4 linked regions of the Saccharomyces cerevisiae S288C genome follow. The gene in region 1 interacts genetically with each later gene. Each region holds a gene or a part of one and is shown on either strand. Other genes may lie near its edges.

Evidence for each region.
Region 2: mutations in YMR158C-A (region 1) and YER187W together harm fitness less than expected from each alone (positive genetic interaction), as found in Saccharomyces cerevisiae (one large-scale study listed by BioGRID).
Region 3: mutations in YMR158C-A (region 1) and MAK11 together harm fitness more than expected from each alone (negative genetic interaction), as found in Saccharomyces cerevisiae (one large-scale study listed by BioGRID).
Region 4: mutations in YMR158C-A (region 1) and USE1 together harm fitness more than expected from each alone (negative genetic interaction), as found in Saccharomyces cerevisiae (one large-scale study listed by BioGRID).

What each region holds. Positions count from the first base shown.
Region 1 is NC_001145.3:572,694-575,091, forward strand, and holds YMR158C-A (uncharacterized protein), read right to left. Parts: upstream 639-2,398; coding exon 501-638; downstream 1-500. Other genes in the region: mitochondrial 37S ribosomal protein uS8m MRPS8, read left to right, coding at 1-22; ATG16 (Atg16p), read right to left, coding at 1,783-2,235; CVM1 (Cvm1p), read left to right, coding at 2,373-2,398.
Region 2 is NC_001137.3:564,420-567,224, reverse strand, and holds YER187W (uncharacterized protein), read right to left. Parts: upstream 996-2,805; coding exon 570-995; downstream 1-569.
Region 3 is NC_001143.9:396,844-400,406, forward strand, and holds MAK11 (Mak11p), read right to left. Parts: upstream 1,908-3,563; coding exon 501-1,907; downstream 1-500. Other genes in the region: anaphase promoting complex subunit CDC16, read right to left, coding at 1-405; SPT23 (Spt23p), read right to left, coding at 1,989-3,563.
Region 4 is NC_001139.9:315,749-318,588, forward strand, and holds USE1 (SNAP receptor USE1), read left to right. Parts: upstream 1-1,593; coding exon 1,594-2,331; downstream 2,332-2,840. Other genes in the region: ribosome biogenesis GTPase LSG1, read left to right, coding at 1-805. UniProt on the Saccharomyces cerevisiae protein: SNARE required for targeting and fusion of Golgi-derived retrograde transport vesicles with the ER.

The sequences.
Region 1 (2,398 bases):
AGTACTATGCAGAGTAAAATGAATAGAACAATCACATATGACCGTATTTATACGTGTAATTAAAAAATATACGGACCATGTAAATAATAATATTATAAAATGCAGACAATGATGATGAGTATAGTACTACAGTAACGTCCTTCATTCATTACCTTTACTAGCAGTGATAAAAAGTTTTGAAAAAAAATGTGCTCCAGGGGAGGTTCGAACTCTCGACCTTCAGATTATGAGACTGACGCTCTTCCTACTGAGCTACTGAAGCTGTCTGTTATGGAGGATTCTAGCATTAAATGCTTTAATACTCAATAAAAGCAACAATGGAGAATAATTTATCAGCAACTAAATTTATAGACGAAGATCCTACGCCAAATCTTAGCTCCTTTATATTTAATATTGAAAAACATATGAATTTTAGGTTGAATCCTCAAAATGGAATTGATATTTCTACATAATAGTACTACGATTATTCTTCACTCTGTTTTATATGTGTCATTATGTTATTACATTATCAATCCTTGCATTTCAGCTTCGTCTAACTTCCATGACAGTTTCTCATACCTTATGTCATCATCTAACACCGTACATGATAACATACTGGTAGTGTAACTACTAGTTGATAGATGATAGTTCATTTTCATTCCAACAATTGTCGTTAGAGATCGCTACATAATCAACCTTTGCACTTCAGCTTCCATTAAATCTGATTAATGCTTCTTAATCTTTAAGCCATCTTCTTGCACCATAAATAGCAATGAAACCATTTAGTCTTCTATTTTCCACTTAAAGAACCAGGTTTTTGCATTTCAGCCATCTTAAATTAGACGACGGTTTAATTTCGGTGTAGTATCATAAAATTTCGGCCATCCTTCGACTCACGTATAATGATGGCCTCAGCGAGAGGATCAGCAACAAGTTACATCCACAATAATACGCGGAGTTATGAGATATTACAGTACCCTCCCCAAAAATATAAGGTTTACCGCAAGATCGTATCAGGAGAATGAACGGGTCTCTTAGTTTTTATCCACTATTCTTTCCACTCACGCCAATATACTAACCAATTGAAATGCTCATAACCAGAATGAACAGGCCGCATGCATTCTTTAGCCAACTTTCGATGAAAATACCCACTATGCAATGGTAAATTTCCGAAACAAAAAATTATACTTCAGTGTTCCCACAAAATAACGATATGTTTCTTTTCATTTTTCAATGAAAGCATGATTTTTTCCCTTCCAATGCCAAAATGCTAGTCCTATAAATGAAAAAAAAAGCTTTCTGCTATAAGAACAGCAAGGGGCATTTCAACTTACACATAATAGAAGGTGAGATAAAGACCATCGTGAATCCTAATAGAAACTGCGGGTTTCTTAGGATCATGGGTCGCGCAAAACCGCCAAGTTTACCATCAAAAAGCTACAAAGTTCAATTTACCCAATAGAATTCTAACGCCAAAGATTTGTAGTGATTCATATGAAATTTTCTTTATGCATCCAGTTATTACTATTGAGTTTCTCTCAAGATACATTCTCCAAAAAAAAAGCCTGTTCTCGCACAAACGACCTTAAGAAAGGTTTAAAACAGCTGTCACATTACATTATAGTAGATAAAAACACGAATGGCATTTTCTTAACTTGCAGGTGTACTCTCTATAGCATGTTTAACATATTTTCACCTCTTTATTGCAAACACTTTGGCGTTTCATATTCTGTCCATGTATATGCACCACAATGATTTTATTTTCTTTTGTATGCATTTTGTGACGATTTGACAACTGATGCATCATTTCGTTCCATCTATTTCGCTGTTCATGGCTTCTGTCTCTTTCTCTGTCTTTTTTAGCCATCTCGCAACTAGCTGGGAATGTTCTTTTTTCAGATCCGAGAGTTTTTGTTGTAAAACATTATTTTCAATGGTTCCACTAATCAATTCGTCATTCAACCTTTCCGTATTCTTATTTTTCAACGCAATAACTTCTTTCAATCTTCGTATTTCTTGCTCCTTACTTTTCAGTTCTTTTTGTAGAATTGCCAGTGTATTCAATAAAGCATCGTCATGGCTGACAATGTTGCCACCAATGGCGCCACTATTATCTTGAAACAACTCATTTAAATGGGCCTCCTTGTCGTTTCGATCTGTTAGTCTACGAATTAACAAATCATCCATGCTATCTGTTTGTGGATTGCTTCTTTCCTCCTTTGCTTTCTTCCTTTCTGTTATAATGAAATTGCCCATGGAATATGCGCCCTTAATACAGATTCGCGCAGGTTAATAACAAAAATCAACGTTAAATAAAGGTCAACTACAAACAGAATAAGTAAAAGCGAGCAAGTGTAGTAGCAATTTAGCACAACATATAAAACGCTATTATAATGGATGTTGTGCAGCAGAAACAGGA
Region 2 (2,805 bases), on another chromosome or scaffold:
ATGCAATCTTGAAGGGCAATCACATATTTTTTAGAGTCATTAGTTGGTGTAGTCGAATTCTAATTATAGAATTTAATTCAATAATAAAGATAACGCTATATCACTTGACAAGAACTTAGCATGTAACCAGATGAGTTATATTTGATAATACTTATTATTATTTTTCTGAGCTATGTCTGAACTATTAGCTTCCATAAAACCAATCAGCGCGTATGTGGTGTGGTGTGTGTTTTGTACCTTAGTTTTGTTTTTTTTATAAATGTATTCGAGTTATTGTTGAATGTGGTAACCCAAAAGCATGATATGAGTAATGTTTTAGTATTGTTTCAGAGTTGTTTCAGTAATGCTTGAGACAAGGAAAACATATAGTAGCAAACCTCTAATCCGGTAGTACTTAAGAAACTATAGTTTCTATGTACAAAAGCAGTAACTATGTAATTATTACATTTACATAACATATAGAAGGGTCCAATAAACTTACTACATTATGACATATAAACTAGATCGTAATTCACTACGTCAACAGTTCTTAATTTCGGGTCAGTCAATTCAGCGACAGGCGTAAAGCTTTATCGACCATCTCCAGTGTTCTGAGCACCGATATGCTCGTCATTACAATAATTATCTATACCACCGTAAGTGTTAAAATATATCTCAGACTTGAATGCCGAACCCGTGCCTGCACCGTCACCAGGTATGTCATCGTAATCAAGTGGCTCACCGTTTTTCGTGTCCTCAGCAGCAAAGCAGTATTTCCAATCCCTATTACCTGAAAAGAAATTCTGTAACTTCTCTTCAGCATAAGAATCAAAATTTCCTGCTCCACCTTCGTCATTCTGCCAGTTCTGTGCCAGGTCACCATAACTCTGACTATATGTCATTGATATCCATGAGGTGGCGAACTCTTGACTGCGTCTCTGTAACGATAGGGCCGAAGCGTTGCCACTTATATCAGGTACCCCTGGTACCGCTGCCACGATTTGATCGATGAGCATGCTCACATTATGTACGCTACTCGTGCTGATGTGGGTTCCATGCTCCGTAGTATACCCCACAAAGTTGATCTCAGCAGCACCGTCACGTTTAATAGTGTCATGTACTGCATACCCACTAAACTCTATTGTAACAAAATTACTACCAGTACCATTAGACAATGTTTGCCCATTGAGCACATGATCAGTGAGTGTTATAGTATGATTCAGTACATTAATAGTCTCACTTAACCCTCGCTTTGTTGCTGAGCCAGAACTCTTTCCCACTAAAACTGCTGCAACTATAACTGCTGAAGTTGCTAAAACAGCACCAGCTATAGGTGAACATATTCCGCTAGTGGATGCGATACAGGTTGCTGCGACCCAGTAAGGAGTAGCATAAGCGGCTGCAGCAATTAAAAATCCTCCTAGTCCTAATCCAGTCGCAAATGATCACCTAGCTCGCCGTACTAGAGCAGCAGTGTTGGCGCGGTCAGGTATAGCTCCAGTTCTAAGTGTGCTTAAAAATAATGAGTACGCTACCAAAAGCAGTGCAAAAATTATTGCAAACAATCTAACGATTCTAAACGTCCTTGTTGTCAAGTAATTTGGAGGGCTGCTATTCATGTCGTCTGTGTATGATCTATTCATTTTTTCATATATTTTTTTCTATTCTACATACATTATTTGGGATTACGATACAGTGTTCCAGAATTGTCACTTTATATAGATTTGTTACAATGCATGACACTTGCCAAAATAATCAAGCCCAATACCTAAAATTTGCAAGCGCGCCTTCAAAGAATGGCTCCCCGCTGATTTTTAAGAAATACTACTTTTATAAAAAATATCTCAAAACACCTTAGTTTTTTCCTATACACTTCTTCTATTGTTTAAAGGCCCTGACATTCTTGGTCTCCAGGCCGCTCAATATGCTTCGCACCACGGTAAAAGGCGGCTGCACATGTGGTAAGTCAACAAGGACTCTTTTCACTAATTAGCATGGTGTGCTATCACATGTCATCAAGCTTTCCATGAAATAAACCATTGATTGTAAGAGAACCACCCAACAAATCAAATCAAGATGCCAATCAAAGTTACAGACTGCGTCCTTTTTCCGCCAATTGATCTAAAACAAAATCTAAAGTCAGTAAACATAGAATTTCTGTCATTTTGCGTTTTTTCGACAAATACGCGCACTACCCTGAAATTATTATCATGAAGATTACTATATTTATATTTAAAGGTTAACCTCGAGTTCTATAATATTATGTCATACAAGCTCATTATGTTAGAAAGCGAGTTATGGAGGTTCAAGTTCAGATGCCTTGGTTTGGTTTACTAACTAATATTTGAAATTCTTGCTAAATATTTTCAGTACTCCAAAATCTGAATATTTCAGAATTTCATATCCAGACCCATTCTATGAGCCAAAGTAAACCCCGTGTACTTTCAAAAGCAATGCTACTCTTCCCAAAATAATATAATATATATATATAACTGATACATATAACGTGTTGGAGTCGTATAGTGTTACAGTCCATGATTATACTCACCTCCCAGTGTATTCGTTAATAGAACTACGTAATTGTAAGCCGCTGAAAAATAGCTGGTGTTGAAACAACGAAGACCTCACCTCGATGATACCAAAATTATTAAGAATAAATATAATGAAACTTGTTTGAAAAAGAGCGGGAGCTCTGCTAGATGGAAGAGTTGCGTACAATACTTTTTTTTGAAGATGAGAAAACACTGGCTAAGGTAAAGCAGGTTTCCTGTAAAAGCTGCTAAACCGTCTTTCACGGTTTTGTAATCAAAAAGGCTTCTTACTATC
Region 3 (3,563 bases), on another chromosome or scaffold:
CACAACATTGCCCGTAATGGAATTGGAATTAGAATTAGAATTAGCAGATGGCTGGTGCGGAGTCATAATATTCGCTTGCAACTTCTGTATTAAAGGGCTATTTGCTAACGACTGGTAGGGACTCGTAGCCGTATTGGTTCTGTTCCAGGGTTGCTGCAAACGATCATTCTGAGCATCGGTTGGTAAACTCTGTTGTGTTCTTGCTGCAGATACGTTAGAAACAAATGGCGAGGCGGCCAATGTAGAATTATGTTGTGAATGTTGCTCCGAAGGCGACATGGGGTTTCTCATAAGTACCCTGTTTGACGATTTCAAGTTTGATGTGGCTTTTGATGACTTGTAATAATGTGTAGCCTTTCCACAAATAACGATATAACAATGACAGCAATAAAGACAAAACTTCATATCATCTTTAACGATTAAGATAAATTATTTTATATTATACATATAAACTAACTTTAGTACGCAACAATTCTGAGCTGCACGCATGTATAAGGCGTTTATTCAAGTTCTACTGATACTTTACTCTTCTTCAATTGCTTCCGCTTCTTTTTATTGAGTTTCTTCTTCTCACCAAACATTATCTTCTTTAATTCTTCGGTATCACTTTCCACCTCACTTTGGTCACCTATATCAGCTGTTTCAGCATCCCTCTTCTTCATTGTGTTGTATTTCTCAATGCTTTCATCGCATAGCGTTAAGCAATTTAGCCTTTCGCCACAGTCGTAGACTGCTACTTGTTCTTTTGTAGACATATCCCATACGACAATTTTACCATCAGAACCAATGGTGACTAGGTAGGTACCAAATTCATTCGTATAAAACTTGAAATCTTTAATACGGTTTGTGTGACCCAATAAAGAAAAAGCGGGGCTGATATCCTCCTTGTCGTCATCATCTTCCTGCTTTTCATTTTCTTCAACTTTTTCGAATAACTCCTCACAAGGATAGAAATGAACATTACCATCGCTGATACCAACAGAAAGGTATTCCTTATTATCGAATGGTAAAATATGTGTTTCAATATGCATAAGAGTTTTCCTTTGAAAGACTATTTCTTTAAAAACTTTAGCCGATCCAGTTTCATAAATAAGCACCCTATCCCTTAAACCCACGGCAAAATAATCACCTTTGGCGCCTAACCATCTAACACAAGTCCCGTTTGTATTATATTTTCTTAGTTTTAGTACAGCAGCATTTCTTAGAGTCATCAAATTCCAAAGACGTATAGAATGGTCATCACTAACACTGATGGCAATTCTATTGGTGGGGTGAATATCCACATCATTAACCCTTGCCGTGTGTCCCTTTAAAGTCCCCACTGTTTCCCAGTCCTTTACTCTCCAAACCATAATTTTGTGGTCTTCTGATGCTGATAATAACCATTTGCTATTCTTGCTCCCCTTTGAAACAGCAGCATCCTCACTGGAAGAAGCTGGATGTGAGAATTGTAGAGCAGTAATAGAGCCCTGATGACTTAACAAAGTACCCAGTTCCTTCCTCTTTTGCAAATCATAAATTCTGATGTGCTCGTCATTGGATCCAGAAACTAGGTATCTTCTTGAAACAGCCAAACATTTAATACTCAACGAATGGGCTTGAAAATGAAATATTGGCATAAAATGTGGTGTCTTTGCTGCATCATTTTCCTTTTGATTTGGGATATCTAAGGATAAACACAAAATGTTGTGCTCGTATGAGCCCACAATGATACGAAATTGGTTCTTGTCGCCTATAGCACTCATTTTTCTACACGAATTCTTGACTTGGCCCTTAGGATCTTTTCGAGATGAGGTACCATGAGTTTTCAATTTTTCATGTTCTAAAAAATTTTCGGCCTTGATCTTGAACTTTATAATTCTAAGCAAAAAAAAAATGAAGACAGTATAAGTAGTATTCAGTAACATAAAGAAGATAAAATTCAAAAATGCAAAATAATAAAAAATGAATCTATATAGTGTAAGGATTATGTAGCTAGAAAAATGTCTTTAATTGACTCGCATGTCGTTTAGAATGTTATTGTTTTGAAACTTCGATAACTGCATTTTAAAAGAGGTTTTCATCCTTTCGTTGCCTAGTAGTACCTTGGCTAAACCAATTCTTAAATATTCCTGAACAATTTTGGATAAATTATGAAACATATCATCATCTTTCCCCAAATTCGATAATGTGAAACATAATAAGAGTACTAAAGTTAAGGGGATCCAAAAGAATAGGAGCATCTTATCATTCTGAAAGTTTTGCTTCTTGGAAAAGATTGTGTTGAACCCGACCTGTAAAGCTTCTAATTCATCGTCTTCAGAAGAAGTTTGAGAATCATCCACGGTCATTTGGGCAGAATTATCTGGCCCAATCTCCACAGATTTGCTACCAAGTTCCCAGTTTTTGGGTTTTTTTGGGAACAAGTCTTCATACTTTGGGAGCTCGTCATTTAAACGAGTTAGCATTCTGTTCCATAAAGATCCGTCAGGCTCTATGCTAGTCTTAGTAGTTTTTGGTATTTCATTTGGCTTTGAAGAGAAGTCCTTGATTTTGTGGGTGTTAAAGAACTCCAAAGCAATCTCATCTGAAGATGATTCACAATCACTTATGTCATAACCTGAATCCGAATCTAGGATTGAGAATGACGTATTGTCATTACAGTTGGATTGTTCGGGGGCAAGGGCAGCGGAATCCGCCAATAAATATTTTCTTTCTTGGACATAGTCATGATCAGCATCGTCATCATCAAATAAACTTGAGTTGAAACTTGACTGGGATACATTTCTCTCAAACGGTTGAGTATCACTGGATCCTGTTGTATTCTTCGTTAATCTAGTCAGAATGTCGTCAAACAGACTGGTTTCATAATTAGAATATCTGGTCTTGTTGACAGTATAATTCATCAGGAAGAACTGTTTAGCGATAAAGCCGTTTCTGGTTTTCTTCATAATATTAACGTTGCATTCTAACAATAGTCTTATAATTCTCAAGTCACCATTAATACACGCCATATGTAGCGGAGTAAAACCAAATAAATCTTGGTCGTTCAAATGCGACCCATATTTGATTAGTAATGAGACAAGACTATACCAGTTATTGAATGCTGCCAGATGTAATAGAGTTCTACCCCTAACGTCACACATGGAAAGATTGACGGTAGAGAGATTATTATTTCTCTTAAATGACTTAATAACTTCAGTGATCAATTGTTCATCGTTTATATTTCGCATCATATTCGTGTACGAATTTAAAGAGCTATTCTGTGAGTGTAATCCTGCGTTATTATTAGATGGAGATGAATCACTGCCAACAATCCTTTTAGCAATATTTCTTGCATCTTCCAGTTTACCGTTCATTTTCAGCCCCACAATTTGCAGAGCCAATTCAATTAGTTGCCTATCAGTATCATCAACATAAGTAAAGATTGCTTTCTCACCGGTATACTTGTTTAAGTGCAGAATGTCATTGGTACTATTGCTGGTGGAAACACTACTATTGCTATTATTTCTCATAGACGTTTCACTTGGGTCGACTATGGTTACCAAAACCGGTCCAGGTTTAGATGAAGGCGGTAAATAAGT
Region 4 (2,840 bases), on another chromosome or scaffold:
CTTCCAAACTATTAAGTTATCTGATTCTGTCATGCTTTGTGACTGTCCCGGTCTTGTCTTCCCAAACTTTGCATATAACAAGGGTGAGCTCGTGTGTAATGGTGTTTTACCTATTGATCAATTACGTGATTATATTGGTCCAGCAGGTTTAGTAGCAGAAAGAATACCAAAGTATTACATTGAAGCGATTTATGGTATCCATATTCAAACCAAATCAAGGGATGAAGGTGGGAATGGGGATATACCAACTGCTCAAGAATTGTTAGTCGCATACGCCAGAGCTCGTGGTTATATGACTCAAGGTTACGGTTCTGCTGATGAACCAAGAGCAAGTCGTTATATATTGAAAGATTACGTCAATGGGAAATTACTGTATGTCAACCCTCCGCCCCATCTAGAGGATGATACACCTTACACTAGAGAAGAGTGTGAAGAATTTAACAAAGATTTATATGTGTTCGACAGATTACCGGACACCAGAAAGGAGCAAGTGCAAAATGCTGCTAAGGCTAAAGGCATTGATATCGTGGATTTAGCTCGTGATTTGAATCAGCTAACGTTTTCAGCTCACACTGGTGGTGACACACAAAAAGAAGCCAAATCTGTTACGCACGGTGGTAAACAAGCTGCATTGTACAATGCCGCTGAGGACTTGGATAGAGACTTCTTCAAGATGAACAACGTCGAAGGTAGATTAAGTACACCATTCCACAAAGTTCAAAATAGTTCAGCTGGTAAGAGACATAACAAAAAAAACAAAAGTAAAAATGCGAAAAGCAAAGTTTTTAGCATTGAAAATAATTAGCGGTAACTAACATATATCTTCTCAAAAAAACTGTGTACTATTATCTTTTCATCTCGCCAATTAATGACAGCGTTATTTGAGAATAGACCTAAGATAATAAAACTATGTTCGTTACCCGGACAAATTTTCTTGGAAGAATTTTTGAGTCCTAGAGATATTATAAAACGGCCCTCTATTAATTTGCTCTTTCTTTCCTCAGTTTAATTCTTCTTTCGAATAAAAAATAAAAATATCATGGCTCTTCAACACATTTCAACATGTTCAAGTAATTTGTGTTAGTGGATGACCATTTAGGGGCTGCTGGCCTGGTTACCGGGAGTTTTTCTTGGATCCAAGCTAGCTTTTCCGTCTGATTATCCTTAAGCTTCACAAATTACAATTTTTCCCACGCATTAAGAAATAAGCTCAAGATGCCTAAAATAAGTTCTATCCCGCCTTTTTTCGCTAACAATGACTGAGTATTCCCACAGTCTATAGTTTGATAGTAGATGGGCGGAAATTTTTCTCATATATTTACTTTTTATAGGAGAGTATATTTACGTACGTATAGTGATTGCATGTAGTTGCTCCCTATATCTTGTCATATGAGCGTGATACTGACCGATACCTGTTACAGATGTCGGTCTGGATTTGTTCGTTTTTCTTCCCTAAAGTAGGTCAGTATATATAAAATATGGCCGGAGGAAAGCTTCACCACTTTATCACCACTAAATTTATAAAGTAGAATACAATTTCAACATACACAGAGAATAAAAAAAGGTTGACAGGACACATAATAGCAAGGCAAGATGGCTGAAACTTCCAACGACCCCTTTCTGTCCTACGTTTTGAGTAGCAAACAATTAACTAATTTGAATCGTCTACGAAGGAAAGCAGTTACAAAACAACTGGGATCAAGTGACGACAATAAGGTCTCAGAGGAGTTTTTGAGGTATCAACATACTTATCAAAGAGAAGCATTTGAATATCTGCAAACAAAACATGACGCCCACAAAATAATGGAGTCACAGTACGAACAGTACCAAAGCAGTTCAAAAACAAGAAGATATAGTATCGATTTAGATTCTGTAGATGCAGTTGACACGGAATCGCAAACAGAATACCCAAATGAGGAGTTTATTGATAGAAACGAAGATAGCGAAGCTGTTATGGAGTTGAGAAAGAGATTGTTGGGGAAGGGACAGAATAAGGGTTTAGGATATGAAACTACGAAATCAGTCGATAGGCAAATTGAGGACCAGGACACGTTGCAACAGGATTTGATTCAGGATATGAGCAAACTTGTGGGCAGTTTGAAGCAAGGAGCTGTGGCATTTCAATCAGCACTTGATGAAGATAAGCAAGTTCTTGGAGCTGCAGAGATAGGTATTCAAGTTGCTTCTCAAGGTTTAATGGATGTTAGCGGTAAATTAAGGAAATATGACAAGAGTAAATTGAGTTACTTGTTTTATATTACTGTTTTCATTTTTATGATTCTCGGACTGGTGTTTACATTTATCATAATTCAATTATTCCCGGCCCTATAATGTAATTATAACGATGGAATGATGTTTTTTGGAAGAAAAATTCAACTGTTTATTAATATTTACGGCATTTTTTCATGTAGTTGAGATTATTCCTATTGAAAAAAGCAAATTGTGAGAAAAAAGTATACAATAAAATTTGTATAGGCTGCAGAATTCTCCTTTCCGTATAGTTGCCTACTTCCCGTCTCAAACTGAATCCTGCTATCTGATTGCTTTCTGTGTTGGTGCGGTGAATCTTTTTATACATATAATATTTGAAAAAGAATAAACATTTGAGAAAACAAAAGTAGCTAAACAAAACGACAAAATCATAACATTTCCTGATCTGACTGAAAGCTAATAGAACAGCAGTGTTCGATGAGGGTAAAATAAGGAGGGGTCTTCGGTTACGTTATACTAGTAAGTTGATTTTGATTTTAAGTCATATTATTGAACGCATTATGATGATACTCATAATGGACTAAATTTTTCTCATGTATAAGGTCCATAGTAGCCAAGTGCATTCCATT